2 linked regions of the Oreochromis niloticus genome follow. The main gene of each other region encodes a partner of the protein of the gene in region 2 in a complex. Links are inferred from orthologs where the notes say so. Each region holds a gene or a part of one and is shown on either strand. Other genes may lie near its edges.

Region 1 (6,875 bases), on a different chromosome or scaffold from region 2:
TCCACATTTTCATTCTCAGTGCAGGCCAGTCTCTGTTAAATGCTGCAGCTTGAAGGCAGAGCTGGCCTGCTGAGCCTGGGGTGGTTGCTGGCCGACTCGACACAGGGTGGTGGTTCTGGGAGGACCTGTTGGAATTTGTCAGCATGCTAGTGTCTAGCCACCCTGTGGCAAAAGTGGCCCTAGCCTTGGACTATGTGTTTTGTTCCTTCTGCAAATGGGATGCTGGACTGTATTATATATTATAGCTGGGACTGTTTCTCATGAGAGTATGTCATTTTTTGCCCTCAGCTGAGTCTGTGTGTTACACCAAAAAGCAATTATGATAAATGATTTCCATAAGGCCCACTAGATTTGCACAGCAGCTTTATTTTAAGTTACTGATTATCTACAAGTGTTCTAAATGTGTATGCATTTGTATGCTGATTGGGGAAATAACATTATTTAATTTTCTCTGGAGGTCCCTTGAAGGTTCCGCAAAACTAACCTTGAGCGAATGTACATTCACAAAGTGTGTGTAATCAGATTAGTAAAATGAATCTGTAAGCATGCGAGTATAATGGCTGAAAAGCCTTAAAGTTATGCATTGAAAATGCAAACAAGTTACCAGTTGCAGCTCACCCAGCTTTCTAGTTGGCTGTCTTTTTATATGTGACTTTTGTAACACTTCTCCTGTGGCAGTTCCACAAAAATATATTTATGGCATGATTTCTGTAGTAAAACCAGTTCAGTACTGTCCAATCAACACATGTACAAGTTGGTAATTTAACTGTTTTATAATATTACCTTTAATTTATCCTGCTGTAAATGTCACTGAAATTGACAATGTCCTTTTCAAGAGTAACGTCAGCAAGAAGCGAGCAATAATTACAAGTAGCAACTGAACATAAACACACAAATACAGATGGGGCTCATTACATCCAGTCAAAATAGGTACAATTCAAACTGACCTGAGAGACTTTGGTAAGCTGTATGTGTTTTTACAATTCTAGCAAATATCATCTTAGAGTAGCAGCACACAGTTCCCCAAAACAGCAGCTGACCAGTGAAGAATAGTGGTTTATTGACTGAGAGCAGCTCTAATCATCTAACAGCTGGCTGACTGCTGGAGAGCCTTGGATGACAAGCAAACAGCAGCCACTAGCTCTGGGAGGAAAACCAACACCGATAACTAAACGTAAATATACATATGAACAATCATAATATGTCACTTTACATTCAAATAATCTATAACATCTATGTCTTTTTACTTAATGTTTTTTTTTTTTTTTTTAAATTTGACTAATAATGGGCAAAGCCATGGTGTGCGAGACCACGGTAGCGTTATTAAATGTTAAGAAAAATAAAGCTGCCCACATAATCGGCACTTTATTCACACCAAGTAAATAAACTGTTTCTGGACTTTAATGCACAAGAAGGTAAACTTTAAGTGGCCCTGTCTCCTGATAGAAATATTTGCATAGCCTTAAATCATAAAAATATAATAATCATAAAAACAGATCTCTTGGGGCCCCCTCCTGGCAGGTTTATGTAAATGAAGAGTGAGACGAAAGGTCACACAAACTCGTTTCCTGTGCACAAACAAATTATTAACTGAGAGGTAGTAGCGAACGATGGAAACACCAGCTTAGTCTTAGAATAGTGCCAACTAGCCAAAAGCAGCTGGCTGACCATCTGCAGCATTAATCATATAATCTACAACTCCAGAGGCAGCATACCATTGGCCACTTTTAGATCTTGGTACTACTTCAAACTCATTATTACTGTTTCATAGTAAACTCTTTGGTTGAAATTTTGACTAACATCACAAGACAACCATGAAAACCAATTAAGCTGCAGGCTAGCCCTCATCACTCAGTGGAGGCCAAACACTAGATACAATTCACTTTTGTTACACGCAATAGATAATCTTGGTTTATTTCAGTTTATTTTTATTTGTTCTTGGGCAAACTGGATTGGCTGAGATTAAAGTTAAGCTTCATAACTTTTTTATTTTATTTGACTTTATTGTCTGAAGTGCTGTCCATATATTCTGAATAGGATATTTCACTTGTCTTTATGAACACATTTTACATTTTTTAAAAAGGTTTATAAAAGTATTATTTCATTCATTTTTTGTTTTATTTTAAAAGTTACAGTGCTGTGAAAAAATATTCCCACCTTTTCTGACTTCTTAGTTTTAAAAAGCTTTCCAAACCTACTTGGGCCTACGTAAAAAAAAAAAAAGAAACCCCCAACAAACCTCTCATGAATTAACTTTGATTAGAAAGCTGAATTCCACTAGCCTCACCCAGGCCTGATTACTGCCAGGCCTCTTAAATCAAGAAATCACTTAATTAGAAGACACTAAATTAGACTAAAAGATCTCAAAAAGCAACACATCATGCCACGATCTAAAGAAACAGCTGAGAAGCAAAGTCATTTACATCTACCTGTCTGAAAATGGATTAAAAGCCATTTCTAAGGCCTTGGTACTCCAGTTAACCATGATGAGAGCTGTTATCCTCAAATTGGGACAGTGGTAAATCTTCCCAGGAGTGGCCAGCCTACCAAAGTAACCCCAAGAACGCATCAGTGACTCATCCAGGAGGTCACAAAAGAACCCAGGACAACATCTAAAGGACGGCAGGCCTCACTTGCTTCAGTTAAAGTCAGAGTTCATGACATAATAATAAGGAGACTGGGAGGAACATGACATGTATGGTAGAGTTTCAAGGTAAAACGCACTGCTGACCAAAAGACATTTACACATTTACAACACAACCTATCTTGGTGATCCTCAATACTTTTGGAAAATTATTCTGTGGACTGATGAGATCAAAGTTGAACTTTGTGGAAGGTTTAAGTCCCGTTACATCTGGTGAAAAATAGGACAGGATTTAATTTAAAACAAAAAACATCACACCAACAGTAAGACATGGTACTGGTAGTGTGATGGCCTGAGGTCTGCTTTGCTAAAGCTGCAGTTACTTATTATTTTGTAGATTCAATGGATTATTATAAATCAGCTATGAGCAATATCTAAGTAACACCTGTCATTGATTCAATTATTATGGTCCAACAACACAGTGTGTATGATTCTGTCAGTCATTCTACATAATGAGTACATTCACTTGTTTATTTACGCTTGTGCACTACAGTGGTTTTACAACTTTAATTTAAGCAAATAGTTTGGGTGCCTTTTTCCACTTTGAAAGCAACATTTACCAAATCAAATTGTGTTTAAATTCTTGGGAAGCACCACACCACCACAGCTGAATGTCTGTCTCCATCTCACCATCTCCCTAGGATCCTTTCTCTCATACCAACACTTTGCCTTCACTATGAAATTTTGTTATGGTCCTCCTCTTTACCTGCTCCATGGCAGCTCCATATTCAACACCTATTCTACAATATATCCACTGCCCCCTCCTCTGCACATGTCCAAAACCATCTCAGCCTTACCTCTCTGACTTGGCCTCAGAGCAGCCTTACCTCTCTGACTTGGCCTCAGAGGCTCAACCTCAGCTGTTTCATTTCTTACCCTGTCCAACCTGCTCACAGTGCATCTGCATTGCATTGTAAACATTAGTCAAAATGAAATTAAGCCCAACAAGGAACTGAAGGACACAGTGGAGCTGAGCTGAGCTGTGATGCTGCCATACTGCTGTCTCAGTCCTCAGAAGTCTGGACTCCCCTGAGAACTTACTGAGTCCGAAGGAGAGAAACGCCCGTGTGATATTTTTATCATGAGAAGACAAGACTTCCGCAAAGTAACTCAAAACTCTACTACGTGTACAATGTAACTATTTAAATGACGTCAGAGTCGCTTAATTTATCTGCTCTTTGATTGGACGGTGTGTGTTTACGTAGCAACGGTCCGGAAGATGTCGCTGGGGCCAGTCCTAAAAAACTTCCGCCTTAAGTTGTAGAGAAAACACAGCAGCTAAAAAGGCTATCGACGGCGTAACCATCCCATTTACGAAGTCAGACAAAAGGTAGATACCTGCTCACATTTTTGACACATACTGTAATGACACATTTGTCCTAAACCAGCCGGTTGGCGTGTTTTAGGATCTCAAAAAATATAAATCCAGAAATTACCAGAGCTAGCACGGAAGCTCGGCTCTTCACTGCTAGCAGTTCGCTACCATCGATATGGTCGGCCATAGGCCTCAGGTTGATATTTTTACGGGTAGATCGCGATAAATATAATACTATACCTACCCATTTGTTCTGACTCTTGATTTTAACAGTCTTAAGAAAAATAGCCAGCACAATGTAACGTCTACTTTATATCTACTGGGTTAGCTACGTCCAGTTAGCCGAGTCTCAAATACCTGGGCTTGTATACATCCAGTAAGCTGCTTAAGTGGTTGGGTTAGCCAGCTACCATCGCGTTTGGTTGAAAAATAGTAATGTTAGTCTAGTTTATGTCTGAGAAAAAAATCTAAACATTTGTTTAATGTAAACTTAATGACATCGAGAAGTATTTGGCTAGCCTAGCTGAATACCCCAAATGGTATTTAGGAGGCTAATGTCTGATCTACATCGCCAAACTTTTTTTTGTTGTTAATGTAATTCCTGTCATTCCTTTTGGACTTTTACATATTTTGATATGAATCAATGCAATTATGAAACGGGTTGGTGTCTTGCTTGTAATAAGCTCTTCTATTCCGTCAACTGTCATATTTTCACATTGATGTTTGGTCATTGAAGGTTTGCTGTCATCAGCCAGGTAACTGTGCCACTCCCCTTCTCCAGACTCACAAAAGAGCAGTGTTTGAATGGCAATGGCAGCTTTATTTATATAACACATTTCCTCTTGCGTAAACGTGATTAACACAAATGATGGAAACATTAAAAACCTGTGTAGGTTTGACAGTCTCTTAAGGCAGTCAAAACGGCAAAATAAAACTTTTTGGGAAAACCTAAGGTTTTGAGTCAGCGAGCAGCTTGTTCCAAAGAACAGGAGCACAGTAGCAGAAAGACCACTCGGCAAACTTGGATCTGATTTGAGAAATATTTAAAAGATCTGCACCTGATGACCTGAGAGGTTTGATTGGGTTAACAGTGAGTCAGAGATAGGGAGGGGGGCAAGCCATTGAGAGCTTTATGAACTAATAGGAAGCTTTTGAAATGACTTCAATACTGGTCAATAGTATTAACTACTAATAATATGGTCAGTGTGGTTTTCCTTTTGTCTGAACATTATAGAAAATGCTAGTTAAACAGTATTGAGTCGGCATTGCAGAATAAATATCTGACATTAATGAATTAGACATTACAGTGCATAAATACCAAGTACAAATAGAGGTTATAAGGAATGTGTCATAGTGATTTTATAAGTTATATTTATTATTTCGTATGTTTGTTAGGGTGTTGAGAAGTTTTAGTTGTGGATCTATTTTTATAAATCCAGTCTCTTCATTTACACTGTTTTACTGTCTCACATTTTTCTTCTTCAGGCTACTATACTCTGGAGTTTGGGTGGTTTTGAGCGTGTGTGTGTGAGTGTGACTGGTTGAGTGCATGTGTGAGTGTATGTGAGCTGCAGATTCTTCCTCACTGTTACAACCAGAGCTGCTCCTCCCTGGAGGATGACAATGGAGGAGATGAAGAATGAAGCGGAGACAAACTCCATGGTATCCATGACGCTGTACGCCGTGATGTATCCAGTTTTCAATGAGGTAAAATCTCCAAAAGTTGAATCTGTTCATCTGGACGTAGCGTTTTGTGGGAGAAACGTTTCGTCACTCATCCAAGTGACTTCTTCAGTCTCAGCTGACTGCAGGTTTCCCCAAACCTTATAAACAGTACATTTGCATAATGACTGAAACCAGCCCACTGAAGGAACAATGGGCTGTGAGGTCAGTTCCTTAATCATAATTATGCAAATTCCCATGAGGTAAAATATCACATGCTGGGGACAAAGGTGCTGATAGTTTGCCTGGACATCCCCTCATCAGGAGATGTCCAGGGAAGCTATTAGCATCAGCATGCCTGTATGAGAAACCAGAGACCCAGTAACGCATTTGAAAATTTATAATAATGAATCTGCATAGCAGAAACAAAGATGCATATACAGTGCTGTGAACAAGTATTTGCCCACTTCCTGTTTTTTTGTTTTGTTTTGTTTTTGCATATTACATACAGTTACATGTTTCACATCAACAAACAAATGTAGATATTAGAAAAAGATAACCAAAGTAAATACAAAATGCAGTTTTTAAATGATGATTTCATTTATTAAGGGAGAGACTCAACTTTGATTAACCACATTTTTTGGAAAGCTGAGTAGAACGTCAATAGCCACACCCAGACCTGATTACTTGGTGAATCAAGAATGACAAAGCGAGGTAGGTAGGCTAAAAGATCTCGTAAAAAACGTGTCATACCATGATCTTAAGAAAGTCAAGAGATAAAAATGTCAGTCTGGAAAGGATTATAAAGCAATTTCTGAGGCTTTAGGACTCCAGTAAATCAAAGTGAGAACCCTTATCCGCAAATGGAGAAAACATGGAGCAGTGGTGAACCTTCCCAGGAGTGGGCACCCTACCAAAAATACCCCAAAAGCACATCAACAATGTATCCAGGAGGTCAAATGAACCCAGAACAACATGAAAAGGACTGGAGCCCTGATTTGCCTCAGTTAAGGCCTTTTTTCATGATTTAACAATAAGAAAAATGGCATGGTATGGTATGGGAGAATTTCTAGATATAAACCACTGTTGGCCAAAAGAACACAAAGGTTTGTCTCATGTCTACCAGAGTTTTGGAAGGTTTGAGTCCTGTTGCATCAGCATTTCATAAAAGAAAATCATACCAACAGTCAAACATGTCTGAGCTGCTTCAGGACCTGAATAATTTTCCATAATTGAGGGAACCACAAGTTCTGC
Region 2 (8,016 bases):
GTTAGATTTTACTTCAAGGATGCAGCCGATGCTTTTGTGTCCTTTCTGTGCAAAGCAGAAGATGACTGCTTGTTTCTATTGTGACCTTGCAAACAGAAATTTCTAATTATGAGGAGTGCGCTCTCCAAAATTTGCTTGATTACATGAATTGCTGTTGCAGGAGAGGCTCAAATAGGAAAAACAGAGAGCGGGGAAAAACTGCCAGGGACATTTTAATCTGCTTTTTAATAAAAAAAAAAACAGAGGGACAGATGCGTCATTACATCCTCTGTAGGACTGTGTGATTACTGTATGAGGAAAATAGATGTATTGGTGCATTTCTTTCTCTCAAATAGAGCTTAACAATAATAGATGGTGATTTCATTTCAGTTTCAGGGAGATAACATTCCCCTCACTGATGCTGAACATTAAGACTTAAGATCATTGCTGGAATCGCTGGAATGCCCATGATTAATATACACTGTCTGAAGCTATTTAGTTTCTTGATGTCATGTCTGATTGTTATAAGAGTACTCAGAAAATTGAGAAGTAGTTTTTCCTTCAAAAAGTAATTGATGGTTGTGCGACAGCAGCAAAGCTTCACGATTTAAGATAGGATAATTGTTAATTGCCGTGACATACTTGAACATGTGCCAGTGTGTTGGAAGAGCAGATACAGCCTTTGATCTGTGTTATTGTTTCGTGTGTGGCCTCTGTTTGTTGTAAAGGCTGCATTTGCCTTTGAATGGGCCTGGATATGCTCGTGTCAAGCTTTCATAAGTCTGCTGAAAATCTAGAGCTACACCAAGACTGACACGTACTGGCTTTCCTGGATGGTATATGGTTATTCTTTTAGATGTAACCCCTATGACCTCTGTCAGCCTCTGCTCACAACAGTCTTGACACGTCTCTGGCACAAGTCTCATGCCTCTGTTCGAGTATTGGTGGCCTCCTGCTGACACAAGCAATTCGACTATACAGTTAAGTCAGAGCAGCAATACAACAGATGTAGTAAATAATGGAATAGCAATAAAACTGCACTTGCTTGCCTTGAGCTTGTGGTAGTTTGAAGGCAGAATTGTAAATGACTGTGTCCTGAAAATCCTTTAAGGCAACAGTTTTAGTATCAAAACAGACAGCTACTGTAGGTCGAAACTGGAAAGGGATCATTTTGATGGTTAGCACAAGACACCTGGATTTGTATCCACTGGCCAGCTGAGCTGCCCCCCACAGTCCAAAGACATGCTTCCAGGGTTGGTGATTGTAAATTGGCCACAGTGTGATTATAAGTGTTCTCTGCGGCAGCTTGTCCAGGGTGTACCCTGGTGTTTGGCTCTGGTACACGTGACCCATAGATAAGCAGAAGAAGATGGATGGATCTGATACACAGTGTTCTGAAAAAGCATTTGTTTTTGTTTTTGTTTTTACATATTTGTCAAACATTTATTAATTTTTCAGATCATCAAACAAATTTTAATCTTAGGGAAAGAAAACAACATTCAGCGTTTAAGTGATGATTACATTTATTATGGAGAAGAGCTATCCATTGTTAAATCATGAATTAGTTGTGATTAACCACATTTTTTGGAAAGCTGACGTCAATTTCATTAGTGATACGTAAGCCTGATTGCTGCCAGACATGTTGAATCAAGAATCACTTAAATAGAACCTGTCTGACGAAGTGAAATAGGCTAAAAGATCTCAAAAAGCAACAGATCATATCACAATCTCAAGAAACAACTGAGAAACAAAGTCATTGACATTTATCAGTCTGAAAAGGGTTACAAAACCAATGGAGAAAACCTGGAACAGTGATGAACCATCCCAGGAATAAAAAAAAAAAAAAACCCCACAAAGGCTCATCTTACATTTGCCAAAAAAAAATAAAAAATCTTAATGATCCCAAAGACTTTTGGGAAAATGTCTTGTGGACTGATGATGAAAAGTTGAACTTTGTGGAAGGTTTGAATCCTGTTGAAACTGGTGTAAAACTAACACAACATTTCATAGAAAGATCGTAACAACAGTCAAACATGTTGGTGGTAGTGTGATGGTCTGGGGCTGTTTTGCTGATTCGGGACCAGGACAACTTGCTGTAATTGATTGAACCATGAATTTTGCTGTCTAACAGAAAATCCTGATGGAAAATATCCGGCCATCAGTTCCTTTTCTGAAGCTCAAGAACACTTGAGTTTTGGAGCAGAACATTGATCCAAAACACACCATCCAAGTCCAACTGTGAAAAAAAAAAAATCCAAACAAAATGAGGGTTTGGCCCATTCAAACTTTAACAAATTTAATCCAACTGAGATACTTTGACATGACCCTAAACAGATCATTCATGCTGGGAACATCTCCAATGTGACTGAATTAAAATAATTTCACAAAGAAGAGAGGGTCAAAGTTCTTCCACCACAAAGTAAAAGAGCGAAGAGACAAAGTGAAAGAGTGAAAAGACAAAGTGAAAGAGTGAAAAGACAAAGTGAAACAGTGAAGAGACAAAGTGAAAGAGTCAAGAGACAAAGTGAAACAGTGAAGAGACAAAGTGAAAGAGTCAAGAGACAAAGTGAAACAGTGTAGAGACAAAGTGAAAGAGTGAAAAGACAAAGTGAAAGCATCAATTATCGAAAACACTTGTTTGGAGTTCTTACTGCCAAGGGTGGCACAACTAGTTATTATATTTAGGGGGCAATTACTTTTTTACACAGTGCCAAGTAGGTTTGGATAGTTTTTTTTCTTTAATAGATGTTACAGTCCCTGATAATGCTTTAGATGGAGAGACTCTTGAGGGATGGCTGTTATGAGGAAAGGCAGCCCAGAAACTTTGCCAGCAGCACACATCGTTGTGTACCTCAACTTTCGGTCTTTTACCCAGGCTAATCTGCCATTTTCCTTCCTTGGTTAGGTTTAGGGATTAGAGATCGATCTAGATTAGGGTTAGGGTAGGGGGTGATATATATATGTATATATATAAAGACACAATAAAATAAAGACAAACTGACAAATATTGTTCTGGGTGATTGGAAAAGATGTGGGATCACTGCCCCACACAGAGCCCCCAGCTAAAATAAATATGATTTATTATGTTACCAGTTTAATTGAGACTGGGATTAACTGGGACCTGGTTTAGTAAAGTCTCCATTATTTTATATTTTTGCACAATACAAGAGAAGACCTGCTTTGGACTTCACATAACAGTATGATATAATAGGTCTATATTTAGAGTTAAAGAAGAACAACACGTTGTATGCTGAATTGAAACTGTTAAAGCCACAGTCAGAAACTTACAGTGTGTAGTAACTTTTTAAAGAATATAGTTTGATATACATTTCCCATACATATACAGGAGGTTCTTGTGAATCGACAGCAGGGTCATTGCTGAAAGTGTCAGCAAATTTATCCCAAAAAGGTTGTTGCCACATTCTAATAAACTGCTTGATATGGGATGATCAATGTTCACAATTAAAGCTTATTCCCGCCCCCCATTTTTCTAATTCGAAATATTTCTTGAGTTGTTGCTCTCACTCTCAATCACTGAGTCCTTTTACATAATTTCAAAGAACAGAAGAGGCTTGACCGTGCTGATTAATTCACATATAATAAATGGTAAATGGACTGATTCTTATTTAGCGCTTTTCTGCTCTCCCGGAGTACTCAAAGCACCCAAAAACCTCCTTCGAGCCGGAATTGAACCAGCGACCTAAGGATTCCTGTTATCATACACCTACAGTCCTCCGCTCTACCAACTGAGCTATCGAAGGGACATGCCAGAACGTAGGCAATGTAGAAATTCTCCTGGGAACTGTAGTTTTTATCAAGTGCCTCCTAAACAATTCACTATTTGGACACGAGCCGTTTGGAAATAGTCTTATTTAAAGGTGAACTTGGTGTTTCTGTGAAGAGAGAACTTTTTGTGAAAGATTAACTCTGATTATGTTTATTACAGTGATGAAGCATGAGTGCATATGTGTGACGAACAGATGTATTATCAATGAATCTTTAATCGTTGTCTTTGTTAGAAAGTCACTGGCTTTAGGACTGAGTCTGAGTGAGATCACTTGGCAGTTTTGCTGATACCGTACACAAACAATAAACTCCTTTAAATGGGCCTAGCGACCTTTATTCATAACCGAAAACTGAGAGGAATGGATACGATGTGGAAGGTAAGCCTGTTAAAGACAGCGTGGTTAAAAGACAACGCTGTCTTTTGTTTTGTTTACTTTTTTGGCCTTGACAACAAGGAGATAAAACAGTGACATCATAGCCACGCCGAGAAATGCACGGCATGCTTTCACAGAGCCATGACGTATTCTCTTTAGTTTGTGTCGGTAACTTCCCCAATAAACGGCGAGCCAATGAAACTGCATAGGAAGCAGCTCAGCGAACCAATCAGTGAGCAGCCGTCATAGGTCTCTGGTTGCTATTTGTGTCGGGCGGCGCTCTGTTTTTAGTAAAGGTAGACCACACAGTGTTAGACCGGAAATTATTAGATTTTTCAACAATATACAGTCTGACGCAATCTTCATATAATAATAACAATCATCATCGTCATCATAATAAAAATAATATATCCTCAAACATCTACCGTGACCACATTCTGGGAAATATTTTATGTATATTTACCAACCTTTGTCACTGTGTAAGTTTCAGAGTGTGGCAGAAATTAGTTTATTCAGACCATGTTTACAAAAGCTGTTTACATAAAATTAAAATTTACATACGTAGAAAAGTTGTAAAAGGTGGTCAATTAAAACGTAACTCTTTTTTTTTTTAAATTATTTGCCAGATGCTAGTTTTTTTTTCTAGTTGCATTGTTGTTATGTTTAACCCTAGCAAGTTATAATTATTATTTTTTTCTTTTAGGTAAGGGTGTATTTCAGAACTTGTCCGCCAAGAAGCTTTTATTTCGAAGCGCAACCGGAAGTTTGTTATTTGCTCGCCAGCGGCTCGACAAGGGTGGATCCTTAACTGTCACCTCTCCCTCCCTCTCCCAGTTTCAATTCAGTCAAATCATCACAGTGATCTGGCAGTTAGCGATACATGCGCCTGTTAGTAAGAGAGTGATTAGCTTCTGCTGTGGCCGTTTTGTAAGCCCTCGAAAGACGGTAACCTCTGGGAGAGTCCTAACCCGAATTAGCTAACGTGACAAACTGCAGCAAACCCGAAAACACACAGAAATGGACGAAAAGGCGTTTACGAAAGAACTGGATCAGTGGATCGAGCAGCTCAATGAATGCAAGCAGCTGTCCGAGGGACAAGTAAAAACACTATGTGAAAAGGTAAGATTTTATTTTTTAATTCCCTTCCTTAACTTATTGCTAACGTCTTCTCCCTCCTCACCGCCGCCTTCCAGACATTCTTAAAATGGCGTCTATAGTGTATATTTCACTGCGTTGTACATGGATTTGACAATCATTACGAGTTGCCCCAGACTTCTGTTCTGTTTAAACAGCTTTACACCGTGATATGTCGCTAAATAAGAAATTACATGTGGTAGTTTTCGGGCTTCTTGGTACTTTATCGGGCAGGCAGGATGACCCATAAGCTTTGAATTCAAGTCACATACCACATTTACAGCCCTGCTCATTCACACTGACAGTGACTGCAGCATCTCTTTTAGCCGTGCTACTGAGTGGAAGTGCTCTGCCTCATTTTTTCCCTTTATATTTATGTATGGAAGCTGTTAGAAAACAGTAAAGGAAAAATGTGGCCAGCTGGCATCAAAATGGAAAGAGATAAAGTTGATTTCTTGTGAGAAAGTCAGGCTTTTGGGGTCCTTTTATTTAGCCTATTAAGGTTGATTGTATCCAGTTTAGGTGCAGCCACTTCGAGCAATGAAAATGTGAGGAAAAGCTTACTGTATAGCTCTTGGCACAGGGTATGGTGATCAAGGCAATCAATCCAGTAATAAATCCAGCCAGTCAGTTTATGTCAACGAGGAGGTTTTTCTTTCCTGCAATAAAAAAAAGAAAGAAAGTTGGCATCTACTTAAGAAATTTGGCCCTCCATTAAAGGAAAATAACCAGGGGTGTAATTATAAAAAGTTATTTCTAAGTGGGGCTTAGTTTAGTTGAGCTTAAAATACATTTTTGGTTATCCAATGACAAAAAAAATAGCAAATTGCTCAGACTTGTTAATTAAGGTAACACAGTCTGTTTACCTTCACTATATGTGGATGAATAAAGTTTGTTTATGTCGCCAAAGCCCCATCGGTGCCCTAAATGTGCTTTATAGTCTCTGCTGCTCCCAGCCAAAGATAACAAACATGAGAAACCACTGGGCTCTGCACTATCCACCACTTCTTATTTATGCTAAATTACACTGCAAATGTATTTCCTGCTCCTTGTTTCTGTATGCATTGTTCTTGGGTGTTCTCATTCTTGTTTGCTGAGTGCAAAACTTTGTTTCACGCGCCAGTGTCCGGCAGCCTCGCCTCTGTCAGTGTGCCCCAGGGTGGCTGTGGCTACAACGTAGCTTGCCATCACCAGTGTGTGAATGTGTGCGTGAATGGGTGAATAACTGGATATGTAAAGCGCTTTGGGGTCCTTAGGGACCAGAAAGGCGCTATATAAATACAGGCCAGGCCAGGCCAAATGTTGGAATGACAATAAAAATCCTTTAATTTTGAGCCAAGAAACACCCTGAATGAGGGCTAGTCTAAATGAGAGAAACACCTCCTGTAATTTGGAACAATTCGGCAACTCCTAAAACACTGCAAGTTTCAATCAAGACAATTTCCACAAACATTGTACCATCAAAGTCATAATCTTGTTAGTTTTTAATTAGATGTGCCTAATAAACTGCCAGCTGATTGTGTGTGTGATACTTTTCCCCCTCAGCAGCTCTCACAGGTAGTCAGGAAACTGAGTCCTTTATCTACCTTCTGTTTACTCATGTCTATAAATGGAGAGGATGACTTGTTCGAGGCAATAATGTGGGCAGTTTTCAAACTTTAACATGACCTAATGGATGAAAGTGATGTGTGGCGTGAATGGTAGTTTTCACATTTGAGTTCCTTAGTCCTTTGCTCTATTTTTTGCATCACTGCGTTGCATCATTCAGCTTTGGAAACATAGAGATAGTTAAAAATAGCTGAAAAGTGATTTAATGGTAATTTCCCTCAGACGTTGGTTGACCTTTGATGTTATCATCACAGTGTGAAGTTGACCTTTAAGCTGGTGTAAGGTTGTTCCTTCCTTTACTATTATAATTTTTTTTAAAGGAACCTTAATTAACTTGTTTTGAGTGTCATTATGCCCATATGCTTCTGCTTTGGTTGATAACTGGCCATTTGATTTTGTGGTCTGAGCTGAGCTTAACCCCAATCTCTCTGCTCTGTGCTGATTTCCGGCTCTGGATGTCTGGTTGTAAAGGAGCATTTACTCTGAAACATTTTACCACTTTTCTCTCCTCAGATTGTTTTGATTAATACTCTTTTTGTTTGTTTTTTGGATTTGTTTTTTGTGCTTTTTAATCCTGATCTTGATCTGTCTAGGATTTCTGTTTTCTAGAAAGCTCTCTTGCCCAAAGCGTGCTATATATTGTTGCTGCCTTGGGTCATGGTCCATTTTTAGGCTTCCCCCTGCTGGAGAATTGACACCCTGTCCTCTGATTGTTAGATTTATGTGTCAGAAGTCAAGTGACTGACACCATAACTTGACAGCGTGTATAGTGAATATGATAAATTTGCTGTTAGGCTTTACGCTGATAGAAGAGGCTTTTTCTTTTCTTTTCTTTTTGGACAGTTTTCAGAGTCTGTTTTTCTTTTTATGCTGCAGCTCTGCACCCCCTCCTTGACTTTTAAAAGGATACAGAGACTGGGCCCTCTACCATGTTTGGAGTTCTGTGTGCTGAAGTTTAAAGGTCTGGTATTCTCAAGTGGAACGTTAATCCCAACATTTGTTTCCATTTGAGTCCCAGTAGTTTTAAATGCTCATTACACTGTGTATCAGGATCCCAAAAAGGGACTGGATCCTTTCCATAGGGCTTAGAGGGAAGGTGGTGGTGGTGGTCAGTGCTTAGCTGAGCATATAAACT

The links.
Region 1: ppp2cab (region 2) and programmed cell death protein 10 share a complex: the UniProt entries of both Homo sapiens proteins name them as parts of the core of STRIPAK complex. The link is inferred for Oreochromis niloticus from reciprocal best matches to the Homo sapiens genes PPP2CA and PDCD10.

What each region holds. Positions count from the first base shown.
Region 1 is NC_031983.2:17,919,242-17,926,116, reverse strand, and holds the start of programmed cell death protein 10, read left to right. Parts: upstream 1-3,849; 5' UTR 3,850-3,974; intron 3,975-5,444; 5' UTR 5,445-5,576; coding exon 5,577-5,666; intron 5,667-6,875. UniProt on the Homo sapiens protein: Promotes cell proliferation. Modulates apoptotic pathways. Increases mitogen-activated protein kinase activity and STK26 activity. Important for cell migration, and for normal structure and assembly of the Golgi complex.
Region 2 is NC_031975.2:22,852,720-22,860,735, reverse strand, and holds the start of ppp2cab (serine/threonine-protein phosphatase 2A catalytic subunit alpha isoform), read left to right. Parts: upstream 1-4,992; 5' UTR 4,993-5,156; coding exon 5,157-5,258; intron 5,259-8,016. UniProt on the Homo sapiens protein: Catalytic subunit of protein phosphatase 2A (PP2A), a serine/threonine phosphatase involved in the regulation of a wide variety of enzymes, signal transduction pathways, and cellular events.